3 linked regions of the Sus scrofa genome follow. The protein of the gene in region 3 purifies or fractionates together with the protein of the main gene of each other region. This does not show direct contact. Links are inferred from orthologs where the notes say so. Each region holds a gene or a part of one and is shown on either strand. Other genes may lie near its edges.

What was found.
Region 1: the proteins of MMS22L (region 3) and ASF1B purify together in Homo sapiens (co-immunoprecipitation; 4 studies listed by BioGRID and IntAct, counting the BioPlex papers as one, with this or other methods). This does not show direct contact. The link is inferred for Sus scrofa from reciprocal best matches to the Homo sapiens genes MMS22L and ASF1B.
Region 2: the proteins of MMS22L (region 3) and SSRP1 purify together in Homo sapiens (affinity purification with mass spectrometry; 3 studies listed by BioGRID and IntAct, counting the BioPlex papers as one, with this or other methods). This does not show direct contact. The link is inferred for Sus scrofa from reciprocal best matches to the Homo sapiens genes MMS22L and SSRP1.

The regions. Positions count from the first base shown.
Region 1 is NC_010444.4:65,061,676-65,066,685, reverse strand, and holds the start of ASF1B (histone chaperone ASF1B), read right to left. Parts: upstream 3,501-5,010; 5' UTR 3,410-3,500; coding exon 3,301-3,409; intron 1-3,300. UniProt on the Homo sapiens protein: Histone chaperone that facilitates histone deposition and histone exchange and removal during nucleosome assembly and disassembly. Cooperates with chromatin assembly factor 1 (CAF-1) to promote replication-dependent chromatin assembly.
Region 2 is NC_010444.4:13,618,084-13,623,220, reverse strand, and holds the start of SSRP1 (FACT complex subunit SSRP1), read right to left. Parts: upstream 3,501-5,137; 5' UTR 3,340-3,500; intron 2,843-3,339; 5' UTR 2,758-2,842; coding exon 2,704-2,757; intron 2,269-2,703; coding exon 2,083-2,268; intron 1,431-2,082; coding exon 1,325-1,430; intron 1,033-1,324; coding exon 842-1,032; intron 738-841; coding exon 507-737; intron 371-506; coding exon 267-370; intron 192-266; coding exon 63-191; intron 1-62. UniProt on the Homo sapiens protein: Component of the FACT complex, a general chromatin factor that acts to reorganize nucleosomes. The FACT complex is involved in multiple processes that require DNA as a template such as mRNA elongation, DNA replication and DNA repair.
Region 3 is NC_010443.5:64,456,467-64,461,636, forward strand, and holds the start of MMS22L (protein MMS22-like), read right to left. Parts: upstream 3,491-5,170; 5' UTR 3,347-3,490; intron 2,870-3,346; exon of another isoform or gene 2,808-2,869; 5' UTR 2,793-2,807; coding exon 2,629-2,792; intron 1,594-2,628; coding exon 1,468-1,593; intron 1-1,467. UniProt on the Homo sapiens protein: Component of the MMS22L-TONSL complex, a complex that promotes homologous recombination-mediated repair of double-strand breaks (DSBs) at stalled or collapsed replication forks.

The DNA.
Region 1 (5,010 bases), on a different chromosome or scaffold from region 3:
AGAGAAGAATCACAAGACCGGAAGAGAGAAACCAAGCAGCCAGGCAAATGGGTCATAGTGACTCCCTCTGCACAGGCCAGAAAGAAACCAGAGAACTAACCAGGACTACAACAGCGAAATACTTACTCAAGAGTTAGAAGATCTGATAAAATCATCTGTGGAGGATAGAAGATGATCAAAATGAGGATCTACAAATTGGAATTGCCTTAAACTTGCCTAAGTTTTTTAAGCAGAAGTATGCTTAAAAGTGACTTTATTTTTGTTAGATATGGGGTGTCAGTAATCAACACAGCAAAAACTCATTCCTACTGAATACAGGACATGTTTGCATACAGGTAACACTGTGTACTTAACCTTCTGAGAAATTTTAAGGGTAAACTGACTACATTACATTTTGTCTTTATGCCTTAACTTTATAATCTAACCACTGCACAAGATGGTCCTCCCTTATGTATGAAAGCAAACCCCAAACCAATGATGATGAAAGACATGTAAAAACAAAATTACTGTAGTTCAACTAGCTGGAGAATCTGTTCCGTGATTTTAAAAACAACTTATTGGAGTTCCCTGATGGTTAAGGATGCAGCATTATCACTGCTGTGGTGCAGGTTCGATCCCTGGCCTGGGAACCTCCACATGCCATGGGTGAAGCCAAAAATTAAAAAACAAAACCAACTTAACCAATAGGGCTTTTTCTGTTTATCATTTTCCCTTTATTTATAATCATACATATGAACCTTGGCTTGTCTATAGCATGTTAAGTGTGGGTCAGAACATCTGGCTCTAAGACTTATTCAAGCAGCATCCGTTGAATTTCTCAATTAAATAGGGGAAAAACACATCTAATGTATTGAATGTGGACTCATGATTTGCAAACATCTATTTCCAGATGCTAAGAAGAAGAGAGAGCAAAAGAGGTTCAGAGCCCTTGAGAAATGGGTCAGACTGGGGGCTGAGTGTTCAAATCTTCAGTTACCAGTATCTGAAGTCACTAGGAAACAAGACTGAGATTTCTCCAGGATCTGAGAGAATTCTAAAGCCAGACCCACTCCATCTGTTTGGGAGGCAGGAAACAAATTCTCTCTGCTCTGTGGGAAGAGGCAGAAAGCAAGTTGGCAGGTCAGAGTCAAGGATAGCCCTAGAGGTACAACAAAAGACTCTACATTTCCAGGTTTTCTAACTGGAATTTCTCTGAGCAAAAGCTTCACTGTCCAGGTATAATTAATAATAGCACCACCTTTCCCTCTTTTGACAGTGTTTTCATGTGGAAATAAAATCTATGGTCAGTCCTATTTACATTCCACAGGAGAGGCCTTTCCCTGGTTACAGAAAGATAAAGAACTTTGGACAAAGAACTCAGAGACAAGACCTAGTGTCAATAATTCTACAAACTGGCTATGTGACCTTGGAGAAATCATTCCATTTCTCTCTATTAAAAGATAATGACCGGGGATCCCAGTGTGGCTCAGTGGTTAATGAAGCTGACTAGTAACCATGAGGTTGCTGGTTTGATCCCTGGCTGAGCTCAGTGGGTTAAGGATCTGGCGTTGCCGTGAGCTGTGGTGTAGGTCGCAGATGAGGCTTGGATCCATCGTTGCTGTGGCTGTGGTGTAGGCCGGCAGCTGTAGCTCCAATTTGACCCATAGCTTAGGAACCTTCATATGCTGTGGGTGCAGTCCTAAAAAAGAAAAAAAAAAAAGAAAGATAATGATCAGCAGGTTGACTTTAGCCTTTCCTGTGCTGATTCTAGTAACAGATTAGTAAAGTAACAGGAGAGGAACTTTGTAGGAGTAAATGTACTAGATAATGACCATGCAACCATGTTTAACCCCGAGGATCACAAACAGACATACTGAAACTCAATCTTCTGCCATCTGGCTCTGTGAATCCCTTAACCTATTAGCTCCTTACATCTCCTCCTAGCTTTAAAATGAAATCTTATTCCACAGGGTGATTCTTCACTTTATTTATTTACACTGTCTTGTTCCAGAAAGGATTTAACTGGGCTTATACTATAGTCACAAGTAGATTCCTTAATTTAGAAAGGAGAGAAACAGGGAAGATTGATCCATTGGCCCAGTCTAAGCACACACACACACATATATCAAAAGGGTTATCAACTCCAGGCTAGACCAAGTGGCTAATTTGCATGCAAAGCACACACCTACCACTGAGAGGTGCTAGTTAGCACACCCTGGCCTCACAGATCTCCACCTCCTTAGCCGCTGCCTCTTAACCACTAAGTGGAGAAGAGGTCTAATGGAGTACTTTCTCCCGAAAGTGGTGCCAAAACTCTCTGAATGACCTTAGATTTTTTTTTGATTTTTATAGAAGTACAAAAAAGGTGTTTTACTCTTTGTGGATCCCATGCTCTCATCTGTGAGATGAGAGTCATGTCCACCTTTGTCACACAGATGAATAAGTACATCTATAAAAGCGCCTTGAAAAAGATGCACAAAAGGTTGTGACCTCTGAGCTGATTGAAGCCAGATACCTTCATGGCTCAGCCTGGCATACCCACCCTCCAGATTAGGTCAGACCATCAAAAGTGGGGGAGAATTGCTACAGTAAGTCAGCAGGAATCTGGCAGGCAAATGGTAAGAACCAACTTATGCTTGTTTGGCCATGCTTCCCCAGGTAGAGCATCAGCAAGCAGGGAGGAGATTATGGGAAGACAGATGGGAAGATGGGGGTGAGTGAGGTCTTGTCACAGGGGGAGAGGGTCTTCATTGGGAAAATGGAACAGGGGGCTGAAGTTGCCATATAGGAAAGGGGCGGGAGCTGGGGTTTCCATAAGGAAAATGGGAGGGTGCTGAGGTTTCCATAGGGAAATTGGGAGGGGGCTTGGATTTCCATAGGAGAAATTCGAGGGGGCTGGAGGTTGGGGTTTCCATAGGAAAAAAGTGAGATGGGAGTGCCTCACCACAGGGGACAGCCTTTTGGTGGGGAGGACTGAATGGCTGGAATGGCGGCTTGCCCCTAAATAGTAGGTAGGTAGGGGCAGTCTCTTGCTACAGGAAAGTCAGGGTGGCTGACGGTCTCTACCTAGAAAACGGGTACCCAAGAGGAGAGCTACAGGAAAAAGAGGGGGATAATGAGGTTTTCACGGGGGAAAACGCGAGTAACCATAGGGGTACGGTGAAGGGGTAGTTTCCCAAAGGGGAGGTTAAGGCTGGGGGTGGGTGTTGGTTTACGGGAAATCAGATTTGGGGGAGAGGGGGTGTTTCACAGGGTTGTCTCCAAGGGGAGGGTCGGGGCGGCCCAGGGGAGGGGGGTCGCTCCACGCAGGCCCAGTCTCACCGTCCGTCAGGGCCTCATTGCACTCGAAGCTGATCTCGAACCGGAAGGGGCTGTGGAAAGGGCTCGGATTCTCCAGAACAGCCACGTTCAGCACCGACACCTTAGCCATTGCCTCGTCGGGCCGAGGCTGAAGCCAGAGCTGGGGCCAAGACTACGTTTGGGTCTTGTCAGGTCAGCAGAACAGCGTTACCCAAAACTGCTCGCGCCTCCTCCGATCGCGGTCTGAAGAGCTAATCTTCTTCGCGCGCCTCCTTCAAATAGCCGGCCCCACCCTCCAGCCAATCACCGTCAACGCTCCCTGGCGGCGCGAGCGCCCCCCCAGCCAATCCTGGAGCGTCGGTAGGCAAGCGCCGAGACTCCCGAGACCAATCGGTGGAGCTCCCTCTTCTGGATGCGGGAGGGAGGCGGGACAGTCTCTTGGCTTCTTTGGGAGTCCGCCGGGAACCAATCCCTAGAGTCTCCGACTCGAATGTCAAGGGCGGGGTGGGCGGGGTCAAAACGCAGGGCTCTTCTTGGCCAATCCCGAGGGTCCCCGCACTAGCGCTGTCCGGACTTAGCCCCGCCCTTCCGGGAGGTGCTTCCAGCCGCGGGCAGCGCCGCCAACCGTCAATTGGTGGCGCGCGGCGCTCGCCAAATCCCCTCTTAAAGTGCGGGAAGGGCGGTGCTTGACCTGCGGTGATTGGCAGGCAGGGGTGGGGCGGGAATAAAGCCGATTCTCTGAGAGTTTATTGGCTGAGTTGACCTTGGGGGGCGGGAGGAAATAAGACTCGGTGGGGGATTCGTAGGAGTGGAGCGGAAGTCGACTGCCGGCGCTGTTGAGCGGGGTGTAAGAAGAGAAAGGAAGAGCGTTTGCGGCTCTGGAGTCTCAGCAGGTGAGCGTTGCCGGAAGTTTCTCTATGGGTCTCCTGGCCCTTCAGGCCCAGCGGCCCGGGAGTCCGTTGTGAACGTTGTGAACGTTTAACCCATCCCTGAAGGGAGACGGTGTGACAGTAACGGGGCTCACGGGGGCCTGGGTCGCGGGAGTCGGGCTTGGTTCGAATCCGGCTTTTTCCCCTTCGAGAGCCTCTGGGGAGGTTTCAGGTAGACACGCTGTAAATGAGAGTTCGAGTCCGGCCTCTTCCACTTACCTCTCGAGGCCACCCTTCCCCGCGCGTTGAACAGGGTCATGAAAATTTACTGGCAGGATTTATGACTGCATAATACATCTAGAAACTTTACTCCCACACTGGGGCTGGAGCGCCGTCGCCCCCTGTCTGGAAGACTGTAGGGACATCCGCACTCACTCCCTGCTTCCACCTGTGACAGCGCACCTAGTTTTACACTTTTCTGAAGTTAACCACGTTTTTTAAAAAAGTTTAAAAAGTTAATTTTAACATACTCTTAAATATATTAAAATTTAGCTGAAACACCTTTTCAGCATATGTTCAGTATTAAAAAATACAACACAGGTAGCTTACATTTTGTTACTCAGCACGAAGCTGTTGAAATCCTTTATTTTACTTAACAACACGTCTGTGATCTGGACGCTACATTTTCACTGAAAATTAGCTTAGATTTCATAAAATTTACAGCTGTATTGTAGACTCATATGCCCACGCTGTTCCCAGCAAGCTTAAAAGTTTCCCATGAGTTAGATCTCATGTCGGTTTTATTTATTTTTTTAATTGTATTTTTTTTTTTTGTCTTTTTTTTTTGCTATTTCTTGGGCCA
Region 2 (5,137 bases), on a different chromosome or scaffold from region 3:
ACTGTGGAGACATGGCACAGCCCATCCCCGGGCCGGCCGGCAGCCCAGGCCTGCACCCTCACCCTTGGAAGTTGCCTGGGACTGTGATCTTGCGGTTCACCAGTGCCTTCATGACCCGGCTGACCATCTCGTAGAGGGATCCTGACATGTTCTTGGTGAGCCGCCCCTCAAAGCGCTTCTCCACCTCTTCCCTGCAAACAAGACGCGTGGTCACAAGCACTGCTGCCTTCGGATGGCACAGCTGCCCAGACCAGGGACACACTCACTCGTTCATGTTGAGAGTCAAGGAGATGTCCTCGTCCTTGGAGAAGAGGAGGATCAGGAAGTGGTAGCGGGTCTGGCCCTGCTTGATGGGGGGATCCAGGCTGATCTGGGAAGGAAGAGCCGACCAAGTTCAGCAGCAGTCAGTGCTCCACAGGGCCGTGCGGCTAACTGAATGTGGGGGAGATCTGTCTACTAAAGACGGGGGCAAAACCCAGCACAATGCACCCCCAGTGGTTTCTTACCACAAAGAACATCTGGCGCTGGTCCTTGTGGGGCAGCAAAAAGAGACGCAGCACTGTGGTGTAGGGGATCTTGTAATCGAAAGTCTTGCCGTGTAGGTGCAGAAAAGTGGGGTAGATGCGAATGTCGTAACGGCCTCGGGGAGTCAGACACTGCAGCTCCCGGAAGATGCAGATGGCATCTCCGGTGGCCTGGATCACATCCGCCTTCGACAGCACATTCTGGGCAAAGGCCTATAAGAGCACACCCTGGCAATCGAGCAGCAGAGATCCTGCTCCTGGGCCACCCAGGGCCTGCTCAGCACCATCTGCTCCCAAGAGACCAGGGGAGGCCTCACCTCAACGGGGTCCACGCCATCCTCCTGGGTGGGGGGCACGTAGAAGCGCACCTCCATGAGAGAGACCTCTGCATCGTCATTCTGGTGGAATTCCAGTGTCACCTCATTCTTGCCTGTGGTACACTGGGACACGTTGCTGAGAGGGATCTCGAAGACCGGCTGGTCACCAATGTCAAAGGAAAGCAGCTGCCCTGTAGGAAAGGGCACACTGAGCCACAAGCTCCTTCCCTCGGCTCCGCATAAACAATGTTCCTTCCTACCAGCCTAGAGGCTCCCAAAGGACAGGGCACTGAGACCATTTTGTTCGCACTGTGCCCCAGGGACCGGGCACAGTGCCTCATACAGTGTTGGTCCTCGATAAATACGTGATGAATTACAAACTGGTAGGAAATCAGAAACAGCGGAGGAGAGCAAAACAAGTTAAAGGCTGAAACCCTTCAGCCTACCTCCTCCCCGCAAACCTCAATCTTCCCCAGGACTCACCCCCAAACTTCACTGTTCCCCAGTTCCAACCCTTCACACAGAGGTCCTTTTCCATCAGCTCAAGGCGATAGTGAGTTTTGAAGAAATCAGAGAGTTTCTCGAACTCCTGTGGGAAGAGGGGAAAGAACAAGCCCAGTGAAACCCCAGTAGCCTTAACACAGAACTTGAGGGTCCTGAGATTATCTGCTTCTGAGAAACGACCCCAATAAACTTTCATCAGAAATCCACGCTGACTTAGAGCTATAATATTGTTAAAACACTGTTGAAAAAGGCTATTTCTGGGGACTGGCTGGACTCGGGCTGGGGGAGGAGTAAAGTAAGGACTGACACTCCTGCTTGCAGGTCTCACAGTGTTTTTCTGACTTTGGACAGGTATTCCTTTAGTGAAAGTGGAAATGAAGTAAAGTCTTTAACACAAGCCGTTCAAAATGGAAAAACAACACCAACCTAAAACCTCAAGGTAAGCCCCTGAACCTGGATAAGGCAACAGGCAGAAACCACCAAAAAAAAAAAAAAAAAAAAAAAAAAAAAAAAAAAATCAAAACAGTAGAAAAGTTTCTGGAGTTAAAGCACAAAGAAACTCCCGAGACTCTGCAGCCCAAAGCTGAACACTGACTGCTTAATGGCTTCCACGGTCCTGCTTTAAGGATCCCAAACTAGCAACTGCACGGTTATCAGAAGGAGCCCCACTTCTCTCAAGAAGATTAAAACTAAAGAAGATGGCACAGTAAAGGGGGCTATGGCAAGGGGCATCTCACCGATTCTCGGAAGCCGTCGTACTTGTAGACGTGGCCATTTTTCGTGAGCAGTTTAAGTCCATGGCCCAGAGCTACTCGGCGCCAGATCCCTTCGGTCAACTCCCCAGCCTGGATGTTGTCCACTTTGCCCGTTTTACTGTTCTTGAAGATGATGCCCTGGCGGCTCAACCTCAGCCGACCATCATTCTGTTGGGAAAACAGGCCCAAATGCACAGGGACGACCATAGCGTAGAGCAGGGACGGTCCCACCCAACACCCATTCTGGGCTGGTCAGGTATCAGGCAGGAGCAATAACAGCTGAAGTGGTGAGGGCTGGCAAGAAGAGACGAGTAAGGCCAGAAGATCTGGATTCTAATCCTCGCTCTGGCATCCAGAACCCGTGCAGGTCCTCAGTTTGGGGATTCAGGATTGAGCAGCAGGTGTAGTCCCTTCAAACTCTGACATCCTGTAACTCTTGTATCCTCACTCAGTAATGCTTCTTGTTGGGGAACTACCAAATACACATCGAACTGACTTCTTTTCCAAAGTAGCAACATCATCAGCACAAGCTCTTGCGAGTGGATAAAAAGTCTACTCCGCCTCCCTCCCTCCATCTGTTTCAAAAGCCCCAGTCCTTCTTACCATAGAGCCTTTCACCTCCTGATACACGTCGTTGAACTCCAGTGTTTCTGCCATGCTGACCTGCCCCTGTAGGCCTCAACTGGGAGCTGGGCCCCAACTCCTGGGTACGTTGTGCAGATACACAACGCAGGCTGGGAATCTGAATTGAAGAGGGATAAGTGGATTGAAGTTAAGTGGAAAAAACAACACCTCATGCTGGCCACGGAGGGAGCCTAGTGGCAACCCTTCCTGTGCCTGGGATGTCTCACGATCTCCCTGCCTGGGAACCCTGCAAGCCGGTTCTGCAGAACTCCAGGGCCAGGCCCGGCCGGGGCTTAAGAAGCCGGCCCGAAGTACCTCTTACATCCCAACCAGACACCCCCTCTGGGCGCTCCACCGGGCGCCATGGCAACGAGCAGCGGAACCCCTGGGCCATCCGGAGCCCGCACCTCGCCCGCGCCCCAACCCCGCTCAAAAAGCACGAGTTCCCTCCCAGCGCTCCCACCGCGCCGCGGCCCCAGGCCCACAGTTCTCCCCTCCCGCTAAAATGGATTCGCCCGCTGCCCGCGGATTCCAACGCGGAACAGTCCATCCCACGCGTCCCGCGGGGGAGCAGGGCCCTCGCCTTCCTGGGGCGCGGCGATAGCGACCACCTACTTTCTCAAGCTGCGGCCTCAGACGGCCCGCAAGCGGGCGGTGGGCTCGCTGGGGGACGCAGCGGGGGTGTAGGGTCCGGGGGGTCCGGGGGGGACGCTGGGGAAGCTTTTCCCGCGTGCGCGGCCCCGCGTCCCGCCACCGGAAGCCCAGCACGGACCATAGAGAGGAGGAGCCGGCTAGAGAGGCGCGAAACGCGGCCCGCCTTCGAGGCGGTCCCATAGAGCGTCCACAGCGCTGGAGGACCTGAGGGAAGCCGGGTTACACTGATGTCCCGCCCGTTTGGCGTCCGACTAGAAAATGGGAGCGTGTCGGGCTCTTTAAAAATCACAGACACTCCTTCCGGGAACGACAAGACTTTAAAGAGAAACTGTGTAGTTGCATTTTATCAGACTTGCCAAAGATGCGTGTGCGTGCGTAGCAATGACGGGCGACTCTCTCCCGCCCCATAGTGGTTTCTGTGGAATAGAAAGGAGTTTGTAGGACAAGAAGGAAAATATTTAACGACTTGTGGAGAGAAATGACCCCTCCCACTGGCTTCGAAGAGAATGCGAGTGTTGGTATCGCTGTGACTATACTGCTCACCCCTGTCACAAGGGATTGGATCCTTTTTGAAGTGAGTTCACTGCACCCCAAAACTTGACATCGATAAATGCAAGGTTTGAGTCTCCTGGAAGAGGCTGGCCAGCGGCGGCGGCGGCGGCGGTATCAGGTTCAAGTGCTGGTGTCACATTCACCGTGGAGCCAGAACTGATTTGAAATCACAGCAGCCTGGGCTTTCATAAGCCAGATCCCCCTTATGGAGTCCTAGGGTGCACCTCGCAAAATCAGAGGAGGCTGGACGAGTAAGAGATGTTTGGATTCGTCTGCTCCAGCTTCCTTTTGAAGATCGGGAAACTGAGGCCCTAAGAGGAGTGGCCTGGGGAACAAAACCCAAAATCTACTTAGCCCGTCTAGTGATTCTCCATTCGGAATGATTGATAATAGATGTCAAGTATACAAAACATTGAGACAGAATATTTAAACTCCAGATTTCTTTGACAGTCTGACCTACAGTTACCCCAGCTTGGGACACAAGATGACGTGAATGCACTGTTGCTCCCTGAACTCACGACTTTAACCTCTGGGTAATGGCTGTTCCCACGCTATCTAGCAACATAAGCCAACTAGATTCAACAGATATGTGTTGAACTCTAACACAGTGATAGGATTTGTGGAAACTAGTAAACAAGATGGAAACAGCCCCAGTTTTCCAGGCATGTGACATCTAATAAATGATTCAAATAAGTAAACTGATGGTAAAACAAAATAGAACAAGAAAATACCCAATGTGGGAGTTCCCTTCGTGGCTCAATGGTTAATGAACCCAACTAGGCTCCACAAGGATGTGGGTTCGATCTCTGACCTCCTTCAGCGGGTTAAGGATCTGGTGTTGCCGTGAGCTGTGGTGTAGGTCGCAGAAGCAGCTCGGATCCCACGTGGCTGTGGCTGTGGCATAGGCCGGCAGCTGTAGCTCTGATTCGACCCCCTAGCATTGGTAACCTCATATGCCATGGGTACGGCCCTAAAAAGCAAAAAAAGAAAAAGAAAAGAAAAAGGAAAAAAACCCAATGTGATAGTGCTCTGCAGGTAGAGCTTCAGTCACTGCCAACATGAGTAAGAAATAGGAACTATGTAACCCCAATCACCCTCACCCAGGAGACCAAGAGAAACATTCAGGAGACCCCTCCCCTTGACCCATGTATTGCCGGCAACTCAGGAAGGGAGGAGACGCCTGCAGAATTGAACGGCTTTAAGGAAG
Region 3 (5,170 bases):
ATATAGTTTGAAATCAGAAAGTTATGCCTCCAGCTTTGTTCTTTCTTAAGATTGTTTTGGCTATTTGGGATCCTTTGTGGTTCCATATAAATTTTAGAATTACCATGCCTTTTTTTTTTTTTTTTTTTGTCTTTTTGCTATTTCTTGGGCCGCTCCAGTGGCATATGGAGATTCCCAGGCTAGGGGTCCAATCGGAGCTGTAGCCGCCGGCCTACGCCAGAGCCACAGCAACGCGGGATCCGAGCCGTGTCTGCAACCTACACCACAGCTCACGGCAAGGCCGGATCATTAACCCACTGAGCAAGGGCAGGGACCGAACCCGCAACCTCATGGTTCCTATTCGGATTCGTTAACCACTGCGCCACGACGGGAACTCCTAAAATTACCATGCTTCTTAATGTGTTCTGGGATAATAATTTGTCTTTGATAAATGACTCCATTTCGAAAACTAAAATGTGAATTATGGACTAGGTTTTAAATAAAAATGAAGAATTGTTTCAATTTTGTTAATTGTGATAATGAGATAATATTTACATTTTAAAAAGTTCATATTTTTAAGAAATGCATAGTGAAGTGTTTAAGGATGAGATGACATGATGCCTGGAATTTGCTTAAAAAAAACTTAAGCAAAAAGGAGAGTGAGGAGTTCCCGTTTTGGCACAGTGGTTAACGAATCCGACTAGGAACCATGAGGTTTCGGGTTCGATCCCTGGCCTTGCTCAGTGGGTTGACGATCCGGCGTTGCCATGAGCTGTGGTGTAGGTCGCAGACGTGGCTCGGATCCCGCGTTGCTGTGGCTCTGGCGTAGGCTGGTGGCTACAGCTCCTACTAGATCCCTAGCCTGGGAACCTCCATACGCCATGGGAAGCGGCCCTAGAAAAGGCAAAAAGACAAAAAAAAAAAAAAAAAAAAAAAAAAGAAAGGAGAGGGAAAAGAACACATGAGGAAAATGTGATAAAAACATGATGTTTATTATAACTGAAAGAGGGTCTATAGAGATTCATTATACTATTCTCTCCACATTTTTGTGTTTGAAAGCTTTCATTGAAAGTTTTTTTGTAATATTGTCCAAGTTAAACACATTTCTATTATATAGTTTGAAAAATATATTTGGAAAGTCTGAGTTCATTCTCTATACATTATTAAAAAAATGGCTATTAAACACAAAAATATTTCATTTTTCTTCCAAAATTATTGTACAGTTCAAAGCCTTAAATATTTGTCTTTAATATATGCTGTCAAATACAGAAGAATAAAAATTCTGAATATCAGTAATGAAGATCTCATCAAAATCCCTAATCCACCAAACATTATTGCTTAATTGTTACTGATAAGGTAATCAAGTGAGCATCATGCACAATTCTACAGGTGCTTTTGTAATATCAAAATTAGAAACTACCCACTAATGTAACTTAAAGCTGAACAGCATCTACTCTTAACAGCCATTAAAAATAAAACAAAACATACCTGAATAGATGAAAGAGAACTCTAGATGAATTCACTAATGCTGTTTCGGTAACCCACTGAATGCCAAATATTTCCACTGTATCCTCTTCAAAATTAGTTGGTAAAGGATCGAGATTCAAAATTAGCCTGAAATGAAAACACTGATTTAATCTCACACGATGTGCTAAATCCCGTATATTATATGAATCCATATTACATATGACAAGTCCACCATGATGTTATAAAGTCAAGAAATGCCTGATACATCATGTCTTAGGAATACTGAAGCTAGACTGTATTAAGAATTCAATCCTATATTGTGATTAAGAAAGGATAAGTAAAGAGAAATGTAACTTGAGAAAAAGTCAAAAGGATTCTAGGGAACATACTTTCATCTGTCTTCACTCTGTTCTTCAGTTGTAGAATTTCACCCTTTGAGGGGACATGTAATTTTTAAAACAGTTAAAAGCTATTCTGAACCATGACTAAAGAAGGGCATAATCAAGCTGAATAATATCTTTTAAGGTCTCAAAGAAGGTACAGCTGTGAAAATCCACAAAAATGGTTTCCTTTCTGATGAAATTGCCTCAGCAAACATTTCTAAAATATTTCAATCACAGCAGTTTGACTGCAATATGTGTATACATCCAAAACAAGAGATTTGAAGAATAACATTTCTGTGAATTTATACCATCTGGAGCATTTATTAGAGTGTTAAAGAAAAATAAGTCTATAAGATTTCTGTATGTATAAATATACAGAATTAGAAGACACTGGGGTGACAAAAAATGCATATGTGTACTTAGGAATTATTGAGAAGCTTCAGAACATTGTCTCATGTTTTAGAAGGAAATGCCACTTTAAAAAGCCCAGGTAGTTCAGATTTCACTTTAAATAAAAGGTAAATCAGTGCCCAGCTCCCTACTCCAAAGCGGAGGCAGTAGTGAGGTAAGAAAGCCTCAGGTAACAAGAAAGCTCTCCCTCCAAAAATCTTTCAGATAAACTCCAAGGAGGAAACCAACAGCATAAGCTTGTATCCGTGTGATGTAGTACACCGACTTACAAAAACTGCTTGGTGGTCATCAAAGTTTAATTGCCTGAAGTCATAGTTAAATAACATTCCTAAACAGCCTGATAAAAAATCTGAATAGGGAAAAACAAAGTGTCCGATTTTTTACCTACCGCTTAAGGGCTCCGCTGGAAAGGTAGGACTCTCCAGAAAAATGCCTTCCTCCTCCTCTGTTGTCAAAATCACAAGAAAAGCAAGGGGGGTTGCACCATTCTCTCTCCAGTTCTAGTTCCAAGCTGTCGGTCAGGAATGTTGATGCAGCAGAACAGCTATCCATTGCTTACTTCATGTCCTGAAATTTGTGGGGTTCATTATGATTATCATCAAGGCTCCAAAGAAGTTGTGACGAGATTCCTGGAGGTGGGGCGGGCAGAGAAACTGGAGGTGACCTCAGAAAGTTCCCCAAACGACCCCCAGCACAAAGAAAAAAAACCAAGAAGTCAAATCCTCAGCAACTCTCCCCCAACTGACTCCCGGAGACTAAGGATGTTAGATCTCAGAAATCCCCTTTACGTCGGACCTGCGGCCCGGGACTGGGTTAAGAGGAAAGCAGATTTGCAGGAAAGATCTAGCTTTACTCCAGAGCCCGCCTGGACCTGTGCCCTACGCTACGTTACCAAACCTCACTGAGCCCGTTTTCCTGCAGTGCCGGGAACTATAAGCTCCCCTGCAGACTCAGGGTAGGGACCAGAAGGGCCCGACGCAAAACCCCACTCCTTACGGGGCAAAGGGCAAGTCCCGCCAGATCCGCACAAGGCACCAATCGGCGCGGCCGACCACAGAGCTGGTGTTCTGCACACCCAGGTACCCCCAGTTTAGGGCACGTCGTACCTGCTCACGCTTTCAGTCCCCGAGATCCGCCCTCAGCAGTCCGGACCACAACTAGCGAGTCCGTGGGGTCTAAATCCCAAACAGGCGAAATTCCCGCCAAGGCGCGCCGGCGCTCAGGAAGGGCGGGGCCACCGCGGAGCCCGCCCCCGGAGGTCGGCTCGCGAGGTCTCCGCAGGAACAGCCGGCACTCCTCAAGTTCTCGCGAGAGTCTGCCAGTCAAGGACGCGGTCCGGCAATTTATTGGTTTTTTTTTTTTCTTCTTTCTTTTTTTTTTTTCTTTTTCCTTTGGTAGTTTTAATTGGTACTTTGGGCCAGAAGGCGGGGCCTCACTGAGAAAGGAAACTGGCTGAGGTGAGCAAGGCTTAGGGACTGGCCGGGTTGCCATCTAGCTGAGCTTGGAAAAGAGCTGTGCTCTTGTGAATCCCAAGCTGGTGTCTCCGGACCGTGCCATCCTCTCTTCTTCCCGCGCTAGTACTAGTAGCTCTTTTGTTGAAGTCGAGGATGCCTGTTCTTGGATTGCGGGCAAGGCAAGTGCACAAATGAGACGAATTCACTGTGTGGAAACACTAAGTAGGTCACATGGTACTTGTTTTCGGTATATAAAAACTGCTACTCCCCCCCCCCCCTTTGAAAACCTAACTGGGCAAGATTAAGTTGCTTAAATGTGAACGCTTTTGTAAAGCACCCCTTCACAGCATTTTTATCTTTTGTAAGTGTTCTTTACGATCTACTCTTTAGAAGGTTTTTCAGTCTGAGTCAGAGATAATACAGCTGTCTTCAATGTAAAGAAAACTGAGAATTTCTCATGTAAATGTCCTGCTGTAATTTGAGTATTCTCCATTGCCTATTCCTCTGCAATAGTTTGTCCTGGGTTAAATTCCTACTTAGGGAGTCTGTCACAACTTTGCCCTGTTCAAACGAAATACCACATAGTTTCAGACATAGGGGAAGAAGTGGGGAAAAAATTCCACTTGATTGCAGCCTGGGGCCCCTGTGTTGAATGCTATGTTTTTTGTGCTCAGCCTAGGTACCTACCTGAGACCTGATACTTTGTAGGGAACCACTGCAGCTCATTAGTAGGACGTGTGAGGTCTCTGGCATGGCACATGGTGTCATCTACAAGAATCTCTAGAAACTTAGTGCCTAGGCTTGAGAATATAGGAGAACTGGTACAGCAGATAGCCATTGTTACTTCTTCTATCAAACATCCAAATAGGCCCCTTTTTCCTTCTTCAGGTGCCTGATGTGAAGTGATTAATTTAGTTAAACCAGTGAATGGAATGGGAAGAACAGAAATTCTCTGTGAATAATTTAAGCTAGTGCAATAATGTTATATCGGTAAAAATCCCAGCAAGTAACAGATAGCATACTCAAGAGAGGTGATTGGAAGGTGCTTAATGAAAGGGCAGTTTACAAAGATGTGGACAGTATTGCAGAAAGCAAAAAGTGATGGTGAAGCACCTGGAACTAATCAGAGAGTCAATATTACCTTTAGGCCTAAGGGGTAAGGGAGAAAGGGATTGCCAGGGCCCAGGGAGACTTACTGCAGTAGGAGATAGCCACCTATCACCTGGTAGCCACCTGTGAGTAACTTAATGGAGGCACAAAACCAGTATCAAACTGTATCCAACCGGGAGGAGCTAGAGGGATTAAAAATAGGCAGACCTCCTTTTATTGTGGTTTGCTTTATTGTGCTTCTTAGATAACAGTGTTTTTTAGCAAATTGACAGTTTGTGGCAACTCTGAGTCTAACAAGTCTATTGGCGCCATTTTCTCAACAGCATTTATTTGCTCACTTTGTGTCTCTTGTGTCACATTTTGGTA